2 linked regions of the Kluyveromyces lactis genome follow. The protein of the gene in region 1 purifies or fractionates together with the protein of each later gene. This does not show direct contact. Links are inferred from orthologs where the notes say so. Each region holds a gene or a part of one and is shown in the gene's direction. Other genes may lie near its edges.

The links. The genes of interacting proteins can lie anywhere in the genome.
Region 2: the proteins of GID8 (region 1) and GID12 purify together in Saccharomyces cerevisiae (affinity purification with mass spectrometry; 3 studies listed by BioGRID). This does not show direct contact. The link is inferred for Kluyveromyces lactis from reciprocal best matches to the Saccharomyces cerevisiae genes GID8 and GID12.

What each region holds. Positions count from the first base shown.
Region 1 is NC_006042.1:1,569,197-1,574,183, forward strand, and holds GID8 (glucose-induced degradation complex subunit GID8), read left to right. Parts: upstream 1-2,093; coding exon 2,094-3,155; downstream 3,156-4,987. Other genes in the region: GAT2 (Gat2p), read right to left, coding at 1-1,171; ERG29 (Erg29p), read right to left, coding at 3,245-3,967; AFB1 (Afb1p), read left to right, coding at 4,971-4,987. UniProt on the Saccharomyces cerevisiae protein: Component of the GID E3 ligase complex recruiting N termini and catalyzing ubiquitination of proteins targeted for degradation.
Region 2 is NC_006042.1:560,366-566,289, forward strand, and holds GID12 (Gid12p), read left to right. Parts: upstream 1-1,893; coding exon 1,894-3,924; downstream 3,925-5,924. Other genes in the region: KLLA0_F05775g (aldo-keto reductase superfamily protein), read left to right, coding at 1-834; KLLA0_F05797g (uncharacterized protein), read right to left, coding at 1,028-1,549; SNA4 (Sna4p), read right to left, coding at 4,088-4,501; KLLA0_F05896g (zinc finger CCHC domain-containing protein), read right to left, coding at 5,640-5,924. UniProt on the Saccharomyces cerevisiae protein: Regulator of the GID E3 ligase complex. Modulates both assembly of the substrate receptor GID4 into the GID E3 ligase complex and its activity toward its substrates.

The sequences.
Region 1 (4,987 bases):
CAGGCGTTGTCTTTGATTTAATATTGAAATTATCATCAAGGTTATCATTATTCTCTAATGATTCTATAAAAGAACGAGGAACGTTCAAGCTTTCAGGAACTCTTCTGTCCTCTGGACCCTTCATCTTTCTGTAATGCATGAGAATGTTAGCATCCTTTGTATTGAATTTTCTGATTAACTTGCAGTAGAACAATCCACATGCATTACACAAGGTCCTATTACCGTAAGGCCCCCTTCTCCATTCGGGAGTAACGGTTTCATGACAGTGTTTACATGACTCGGTACCATCTCCTGCCGCTACGCTAATCATTCGTTGCTGCTGTGAAACGCTGTTGCGTTTCCTTGGTTTGACTTTATCTACTTTAAAAGTATGACTTGTTCCTCCGATGGAACTATCGCTTTTACTGCCTCTATGTCCAACAACTTGAATGACCGGCTTTTCCATCTTAGTGTTGGTAGCTGCGGTTGGGATTTCTACTTCAGATTTTCTTACTGTGACGTTGAAAACATTTTTACTCCTGGGTCTCATTGGGAATTGAAACTCTGTCATTGGCTTTTGTAGCTCGTTTCTAAGCTGATTAATACTAGGGAGTTGCGGTTTTTTCCTGTTCCAATCGTTCATGTTCTTCAACTCTAACAACCTATTCGTAACCTTTAACATAGATCTTGTTTCGTTGGAAAGTTGGGTGAGATCATTGACCAAAACATCCTTAATCTTCTGGGAACTCCATGTCAGCAAATGAAATGTCAACTGTTCATTGTACTCTGATAGTCTTTTCAAAATCCGTTTGAATTCTTCTTGATTCATATCCTGGTCGATCGCAGTGTCAGCCAAAAAATCAAGGGATCCACTTCTATAGTGACCACCGTAATGGTAGTCCCTTTGACGAGGACTAATTTGCGGTGACGAATTTGACGACGAAAGAAAATTTCCTGTCGTTGAAACGGTAATGTTTGTTTGTGACGTCTTGTTTGTCCGAATACTCGAATCGTTCTGCCTGTCGTAGTTCAATAGATTTGGGATGGAAGCAACACTATGGTAGCTGACACTTTGGGATAATGATTGAGGTGTTCTCGATGTAGGAGTTGCAGATGATGAAATAGAACCAGATTTGGGACTTTGGGACCCCTTTTGTGCCAGCGACGCTGTCATAGTTTCCATGAATGTCATAATAACAATTATACTGACTAGCCGTATGTCTATTTATGTGTATGTGTGATAAGCAATGTTGAACGAATATATTATTCAAAATGATATCGACTGTGTCTTGGCAAAAAAATTTGGTTTGGCTCTGTGGTTCTATTTTGTTATTTCAATTGAATGATAATGAGATTGCAATCTAACGAGTTACCTCTCTGTTAGTTTCGAATCTACTCTTGGCCTTAAATACCTGGCTTATTTGATGTTCGAAGAACTCGGAAAAGTACGCATATATTTATATCATTTCATTTTTGTATAGATCATTTCAGTTCCTTAATTTGATTTGACACTTTTTTGTCATCAGAATCTAAGTAAGTTTCAATTTAGAATATAGAAACGGCTTGGATTGCCTCCTCCATTTCATTATTGATCCTAAACCAATGAATATTGAAACTGTAAAGTTTTTAAATCTGTGTTATGCCCTCGATATGTCTACTGTTTTGTATATTACTACGTAAAATGTCGACTATAGCTGCTATGAGTGACATCTCATGAATCGTTTCCCTCTACTTGAAAGATACAAAAAAAAGAGTCCAGATTCAAGAAGATTTAAATTGAGAAGTTTCTCGATTACTGTTATCTGAAGCTACAAACCACGATTTGATATCTACATGAACTCCTTTTCTTTTCAGAATTGATCTGTCCCATTTCCTCGTCGTCAGAGGCCTGTTCCCTTATTTATTCACAAAGGTTTTTCACGAAATGAACCTTAACATCACTTAGTAAAGAAACTGGGCATTATCAACAGAAAAACAAAAAAATGAGCACCTAATTGTAAGTTGAAAGTGAGACTTCCTTAGCCCCTAATATTGAAAGAAAGAGTGGTACTATACTATTTGCGCTAAGCATAAGCCAATCTAGTTTTCCCTAGACTTATTGCTTCATACAAACGATGACCAATTTTAAATCTACCTATGAGAAGAAATCTTTCACTAGAGAACAATGGATGAAAGTGGTGCAGGACGCCAATCCCTATGATCGCAGCAACAGTGAGTTGTCGAATAATGAGCCGGTAATACCAATGTTATTATTGAACTATTTTGTGGTGATGGCATATGAGGAATCTAGTATCCGCATGGCTAAGGAGCTTGGGTTTTTGAATTCCAACAAAGACATTGAAGAATTCAACTCTGTATATATGATTAAGAAAAGGGCATACATCAAGGAACTTATCAAGAAGGGTGAAATTTTACTAGCTATGGAAAAGATTACCGAGGTATTTGGAATAGAGGTACTCGAAAGTTTGAATGACCATATTACAGATGAAGATTTGAACTTCAAGCTATTGTTGTTGAACCTTATTGAAATGATTCGTTCCCACAACGCCAAGGGCGACCCTAACGATCAGGAGCAGTTTATATTAGAGCTTATCTCTTATGCTCAGGATAAACTTGCTTTGAAAGCAAGCTCCAAAAAAGAGTATATGAAGGAAGTCGAATTAGTTATGACCCTTCTTCTCTTCCCGTTATCGGATGAGGATGGTTCGAGTCCTTCTGCTAAGTTACCAAAGAAGTTGAAACAGCTATATTCCTTAAATATGAGAACTAAAGTAGCTGATCTAGTGAACAGAAAGCTTTTGCAATCGATATTACCGAGGATAAACTCTCAACTCGAAAAATCTGGTTTACCTGACATCTTAGGATCCAGCTTCCAATCAAATCGAGTTCCCACTCTAACAAACGTTATACGATCCATTCCAAGGGAATCTATCACGACAGAAAGGCTTACCGGAGAGCTAGCACATATTGAAGAAAAGCAGGGAAGTTCTATGAGCACCAATTCCGACATGAGTCGCATACAAGGTGAAATCTTTGAAGAGTTAGGTGAGAACTTGCATTCTTATTATATCCCTAACGACGTTAGATTGGTACAAATCATGAAACTTTGGGTTTGGTGTGAAAACCAATTGCATAGTTCGGATGTTGGTGTTCCGAGGGTTGAAGGAGTGATTTAGTGCAAAATCTATAATCTTTTATACTATATATGCATGGGTTCCCTATATTCACATTATGTTTTCAAGCATTTAACGGCAGCTTGCAATTTTCACACCAAAAACTCACAGTCTATAGTGTCACCAGTTTCCATCTTTAAGAAACACAATTGAATATCGTCGAGGTTTTTTGGAAGTTCCTCGCTCATGGTGTTGTAGATTTTTACATTTTTGGTAATGGTGAAGGTTTTGCTTGGCTGTTTGAACTGATCATAAAAGTGACCATCTTTAAAGAAGTGATAAAGTTTTGATTTTAATAGCCTTAATGTACAACCAAACTCTGGTCTTTTTTCATTTTCGAATTCTTCTGGTGAGAATTCAATGTGGAATGTGATTGGATTATCCAACAGAAGCTTTTTGGTATCTTCGTCGATAACTTGGCATCTAACGTATATGTGAGCGACATGCACAGGTTTGGCAAAGAACTTTTCCCTCGATTCGAACTCCTCGATTATGAGACCGGATTTTTCATCAAACCATTCTGTGGCATGGTACGAATCGTCATGTATGAATCGATGGTTTCTAATAAAATCTTCGTCCAATTTAGTGCTGTTCAATTGTTCCCATGTATCCATTTGTAAGGCACTCATTTGAATTGTTATGTAGAGTTCATTCACAAGAGCAAATCCTCCCATCACCACAAGAAAAAGTGTTATTCGGGCACTTAGCGGGTCATCAGTGTATTGTTTAAGAAAGTTTACTTTTCTGATCCAAGCGATCATAATGCTTTCCAATTGCAAATAGTGACGCAGCACCGTCGCGCGTAATTCCTCCATATTGGCCTTTTCAGGTCTTATAAAGTTATATTAGTTTGCAGGTCACCTTTATTAGCTCGCACTAGTCCACTTCAAGTGATTTCTATATCTTTACGTTTTATTGCATTTGAAGGTGTGTAGTTTCTTCTAAGTTTATCGATTTACAAAGCTTGTTTTTCATGCCCCGACGTTAAACGAGAACAACATACATATCGAGAATGCACATACATTCTTCAAACAATTCATGTGGCCAGCTTCTGTAGCGACCGGAAACTGACTCTAGTTAAATGGTAGGTATGCTTTTGGATTACTCTGATATATCTAACCTTAAACTCCTGACTCTAAATTCTAACTGTTATAAAAGAACTCGTCTTACAATCATTAGGCTCAAGCAGGCAATAGGATAACGTCATTTAAAATATCCTCTGACATTTGCATACTTCTATTTATCGGTCAAATATCCAGTTTATCAATTCATAATGGTCTGAACTACATTCATGCTCCATTTTTTTATGTTACAGCAGCTTGTCTGCTTCTTACGATGAAAGAGTTCCTGCTCTCCGGTCTTTGTATTCTACAGTCTTCGTTCCTGATATCTCCTGTTTAGATCTGTGAATGGCAATTCCTATTTCGTAATTATTTGACATTACCATTTGTAGAAAGGTTAGTGTTTAATACTCTTGACTGGCTTGCCCCTGATTATGAGATCGGTTGCACAACACAAAATAGTCGGCATTGTTACTGGAAAGTCTTTCACAAAAGGGCCCAGCCATAAGATGCCTAACCTCAAATCTACAATTTCTGAGCAATGAAAGCCAAATGTATCATATTCGGCACATCATCATATTTAGCAGCTAGCTTTTAGAGGTTCATCATGTCACAGATATCTTCATCATATATTGCCGAAAAAGGAAACCCGCCGACAGTATATATAAAGTCAGGCCATACAGGCGTAACAATAATGTAAGTCGACTCGCTGGTATCAATTACCAACCAAAAAAGTATCCACGTTAACAGATATATAATGGTAAGACTTAGCCC
Region 2 (5,924 bases), about 1.0 Mb from region 1:
ACAGATGCCACTTTCTCCCAACCATTGGTTGATATTGTGAAGAAAACATTGGATACTGTCCCAGGTGTTGTGCACATTGATGCTGCAGAGATATACAGAACTTATCCTGAATTGGGTGCCGCTTTGAAGGATACAAAGAAGCCAAGAGATGAAATCTTCATCACTGACAAGTATTCTACTTTGAAACAGCTTTCTGAGAACCCTAAAGTTGCCTTAGAGACATCATTGAAGAAGCTCGGTGTTGATTACGTGGACTTGTATCTATTGCACTCTCCTATAATTAAGGAAAGCAAATTGGATGTCGAGGCTAATTGGAAGTATTTGGAAGAACTATACAAGTCTGGAAAGGCTAAGAACATCGGTGTTTCAAACTTTGCTGTAAAAGATTTGGAGAAATTGCTTGCAGTGGCAGAGGTTAAACCGCAGGTGAACCAAATTGAATTCTCTCCATTCTTGCAAAATCAAACTCCCGGTATTGTTGAATTCAGTCAAAAGAATGGTATTTTACTTGAGGCCTACTCACCATTAGGTCCTTTGCAAAGAAGACCAGAAGATGCTGATAAGCTACCTTTTTACCAATATATCGCTGAATTGTCAAAGAAGTATAACAAGAGTGAGGCTCAAATCTTGTTATCATGGGTCTATGAGCGTGGAATCTTGCCAGTAACTACGTCTTCGAAGATCGAAAGGATCCAACAAGCGCAAGATATCTTTAGTTTTTCTTTGGCTAATGAGGAAGTCCAAAAGATCACTCAATTGGGTTTGCAACATCCAGCTTTGAGATTATACTGGACTGACGTATACTCAAAATACGATTCTGAATCCCAGAAGTGATTATTCCATCTCAGTATGTTATGTCAATGAACACTGGCTCTGAGAGCACACATCTTTTTAATAGGCTTGTTAAACATCTGTTGACTATATTTACAAGTATTGCTTTACGTGATACTATTCCTTTAGGATAATGTCGTATATACATATTTTCGTTTGCAGAATGAGGTTCATATAGGAAACTTTTAAAATATAGTTAAGGCAAGAACTTCCCTTTCTTCAAGCTTTCCACAGCTGTGGTTGAAATATGTCGGAATCTAGCGGGCCCCAATGCTGTCCCACCGTACCATCTTGTAACAACAACTAAAACATTAGCAATATGACTTCTTTCTAACAAGGTTAAAAGTCTTTGTCCTGCACCAGCCTCACCACAGTCATTTGATCCTTGTTGTATATTCTTTAACATTGCCGGCCCTGTCAGTTCACCAGGCACTGTCAATGAACCCCTTTTCCTCTTCTTATTTCCTTTCTTATTGTGCTCGGGGGGTATAATATCTGCCGTTCTCCATGCATACATATGCTTGTGCGTTGCCTTTTGGACGGCCTTATTTTTTTCCACTAATACCTCCAGTAACTTATCAACTTCAGACAGGTTCTTGATAGCATGGCACCTTGCTTGAAACTTGGATTTTCTATCTACCAAAACTTCGGATTCGTTCCACCCTATACCTGTCATGTATCTTCTGGTAATTCTTAGATAACTATAAGATCGTAGCATAAGATGTCGACCTTTACCATAAGTATCAAATCGCCGATGTATATTAATTTCTGTCCACCTGCTTGAATAGATGTGTGACCTCCTCGATTGAGCACGCTCCGCATGTGTTCATGACAGTATTGGGGTCTAGATAACCTTCATAATTTTACGTTGTTGTGTTCTCTGCTGCTTATGAATTTCTATATCGTCTGTCCTTTTATATCGAAGATTTAGCGATGAGGTTTTAGTCTTTCAATTTCACAAAACTCAATAGATGAACGTTATTCAGTCGAACTAAGACGTTTAAGTGAAAACACCCAGAAGGTGGAACGCTATCCTTATAATATCCAGCCAAGATTACCTGAATGCAATCGAATTTCACCTTTTTGGTTTCACAACCATCATGTTCGAAGACAACTCCTTCAGGTTACCGAGCTTTCCAATGTAAAGATGACAGGATCCATCCTTTGAAGGTAAACACCAAAAATCGGGCTGCTGATACCAATAGCATAATACAAAAGTTCTGTTATCTACGACCAAGGAGTATGCCTATTGTACCGACATCAAAATATCTGCACAATCAAGAGCATTCAGACTTTCTTTTGGTTGCAAGGAATAATGGCATAATCGAAATAATAAAGGACTACAATTTTAAGGTAACCAATAACGTTCCTTTACGACCAGATTTTCTACTATTTTGCGTACCAATGACTTCGAGTATAACTACAAATGATACAACCATTGTTGGTTTAGAGTATAAAGATAAGTTTCTATATGTATGTTCTGCGGTTGGTGACATATTTGGGTTCATATTGAACTTACCAGACGATTACGTTCAAGACGAAGAATTTCAAGCATCACCTTCCTATAAACGGTATAGAGATTCTTTCTCTTGGAGATCGGACATAGTACAATCTTCTGACGCAACAGCTGCAGAACGGAGCTTAAAAGAAATCACTCGATTCAGAAAAGAACATAGTTGTGGCCACATTTGTTATTATTGTTATCCTATCAATGAAGACGGATTCTTCCATGAAACGATAAAACAATGGTATCCCGACCCTGTACCGACATTTTCAAATTGTTTTGTTACGTTTTTGAGGACAGATGTTAGCTCATTTCATATCAACCCGATGGACAGATTCAGTGTCATCACCGTGGCACCGCAGACGCCGTTAACAATTCACAAAATACTCTTACCTGAGGTGTATACGACATTCTTCTCAGAATTTGTAAAGCTTAAAGATGAGTACTTCTCCAAAAAGCACAGAAGGGTTTCAGAACCTTCCAGTTTTGATTTTATGTCAAGAGCGGTTCATGGGACAGCTTTTCAAGAATATTTGAAGAGAGATCGTTCAAGCTTTGTCATGGAACAAGATGTTAGGGTATGGAGGGGAATGCTGGTTTGCGATATGGTTTGTGAATTCAAATGCTCCTCCGTTTGGAGGCAAAAACAAGGTAATATGAAAGATGGCTTACATGAATTGTTCTTTTATGACAAAAAACAAGAAGCAAATAATCGCAATGAAAGCGATTCTGTTGCTAGAAATGAAACTGTAGTCGACTTGGAGCTGGATTCCCAATCATTCTCATTACTTGGAGTTTCTACCGAGATATTAGATAATCATACCCAACACCAATCTAATATAACACAAACTGAACGGTTTCTAAAATTCTTGCGGAAACAGACGTTCCCTATAAATTTCCAAGTGGTAAAGACAGTAAGCCTCGACGGTGAAACAAATTCGACAGGGTATGAAGCTGCAACTTCTTTTCTTACAGATACTTACAGAGATATGGATGTTGTTGTTGTGGACAAATTTTTAAGTGTAAACGCTTTTCGTCCTAAATACGTGGACGAGCCTCTGATGAAGTTAGATTCAATACATGACTATCTGGAAGTAAATGAAGAAGACAGAGATGCTCATGTAGCTTTAAATAATCTCTCCTCATTCATCAAGTTTTTCATGCTTACTGATTCCCTTTGCATGATTTGGGATATCAATGGAATATTGTTGGTGGATAGATTTCAGCTAAGAAGTACAAGGAATCTACTACATAACGATGTCGGGGCTGTTAAAGTAATAAACTTCCGTGTAGGAATAGTGAATGATATTGGGTTAGTTTTAAATCAGTTCAAACAAGATGGTTCTGACTATTATATTGAGTTTTATTCCATCTTAACAACGTTAACGGGAGATATCGCACTACTGAGGGGTGAATTCAAAGTTGGCCAACGATTAGGTACTATGAAGATATTAGATAGTTTGAGAACGCAACAATCGGATAACTTTGTTGACCAAATATTGATTACAAACTACTCACTATCCAATAAAAGAGACGCTGGAATGGTAATTCCTGAGGTTTTTAAAATGAATAAAAGATCCAAAACTTAGAAGTCTTTCAACAATGTAAGTCAAAATAATCTATACGTTTACGTGAATAGCAGCTAATATAAACCCTAATTAATATAATGGTAATCCTTGTAGAAGATGTACAACAATCATGAAATAGCAGAAGTAAAAAAAAAATGAGGTGCTGATAATTAACCGCCCCTAATCATACACTTTCTGTGTATGGTGGGGGAGAACCCTTTGGCACATCCTGAGCGTAGTTATTTGGTTCATATCTTAGAGGAATCTGAGTTCTTGGCAATAGAGGATCTTCTACACCAGTGGGTTGATGAGAAACGGTCGTTACCGCAGATGGGCTTCCATATCTTTGTCCGTCATTCCACCCTTGCTCATAATAATAACGTGTTTCGGTATCCGTCCTTAGCGGTGACGTGACGGTAATATAATAAAAAGCATGAATCATTCCAGGGAGGAACCCAAACATAGTTAGCAACACGTTTAATAGTAAGTCACTGGAACATAAACCCGATCTCAATCCCACGGCAATCGGTGGGAATATTATGGCAACAATATAAAGTATCAAATCTGATACAGTACAGCAGATACAGCACAGACACATGTTTCAAAAGCTTTTGATAATACACTGCTGGGAGTATAAGGGAAACCTACGAGGCTCTTCTTCTGTATCCCAATGTTGTGAATTGAGATGATTAATAGGTATGATTCATTGTTCAAATTTTGACAATTATCAACTAAAGAAAACTATGGGAAACGCCATACATATGACAAAAATGATTGAAGCCACATAGACCATTTGTGAATGCTTATACCGAAACAAGTACAGGCTTTTGAAAGCCAGTAGCGAATGTATATCTTGACACCCCTTTGACAAGCTATATCTCGTTATCTAAATCAACATGGAAGGAAAATGAAGTCACATGGTAAATTAAGTATACACGTACATCTTAGAATTTTTGTTTTTCTGTAGTGATATGCTTTGGATGATAGTTGATTGATTAATCGCCTGATGAGGGATCGTTGATATCAAACAATATAACGAATATAATATAATAATCTATTTAGTTAGATCGTTGAGTTTATGCGTCCTTGCTCTTCTTTCTCTTGTTGCATCCAACCTCCCCAAGAGGTCGCAACATAGCTCAGCCTTTTATACTCGACTTATATACTCGGATGGTCGTCAGACTTCGTCATGGCAACTCGTTGCCTCCATGCCCTTGTAGGTCCTGTGCAGCTACCGTCCTCCACGCGCACTCAAGACCATCACGTGACAGTCTATGATCCATCTATGCCATCCCTCTGGATACCACAGGATCCATATGCCCAGTCACTGACGTCTTGGAACTCTGCCGTGTGCTGGCTAGCCCACATGACCTCTCGTCTGGCTTGTCCTCAGTCTATATTACGACATTTCCAACAAATTTGGTTCCTTGGCCCAGTTGGTTAAGGCACCGTGCTAATAACGCGGGGATCAGCGGTTCGATCCCGCTAGGAACCATTATTTTTATCGCTCTCTATTTTTGGCTCAGTTTATTATTTGACAAGTACTAGTGTCTGTGGAAAGCCTAATATATAAGCCTCGCGGAAACAGCAGCCGAGAAAACGCAGTTGGCTTGCAACTATTTTTTCATCTTTCCATAAATTACGCTAGTTAGTACAATATTGTTCAAAATCTCTGCTATTCTTCTGAGACGAGACTTGGTTACACATATATATGTATTTGGGGTATCTATATTGAATCACCTTCTCTTTTTGAAACCGGAGTAGGAGTTATACTTTCTATATCTATCGTTTGAGGGTTGATATGAGCTGCTCCCATAACGAGGAATATTGACGTTAGGATTTCTTGGGAAATCTAACGGATGTGATCTCGTTGGTTTTGGTGGTAAAACTTTACCCTTGACTGTAGGAGCAGGTGCGTTTGATGAGCCATTACTGTGATTATAGTTGGACCTTTTGGACTTTTTGTTATATGGAGGAGCATAAAAGTTAGATGGCTTTGCATCACCGTAGTCCATAGCTGG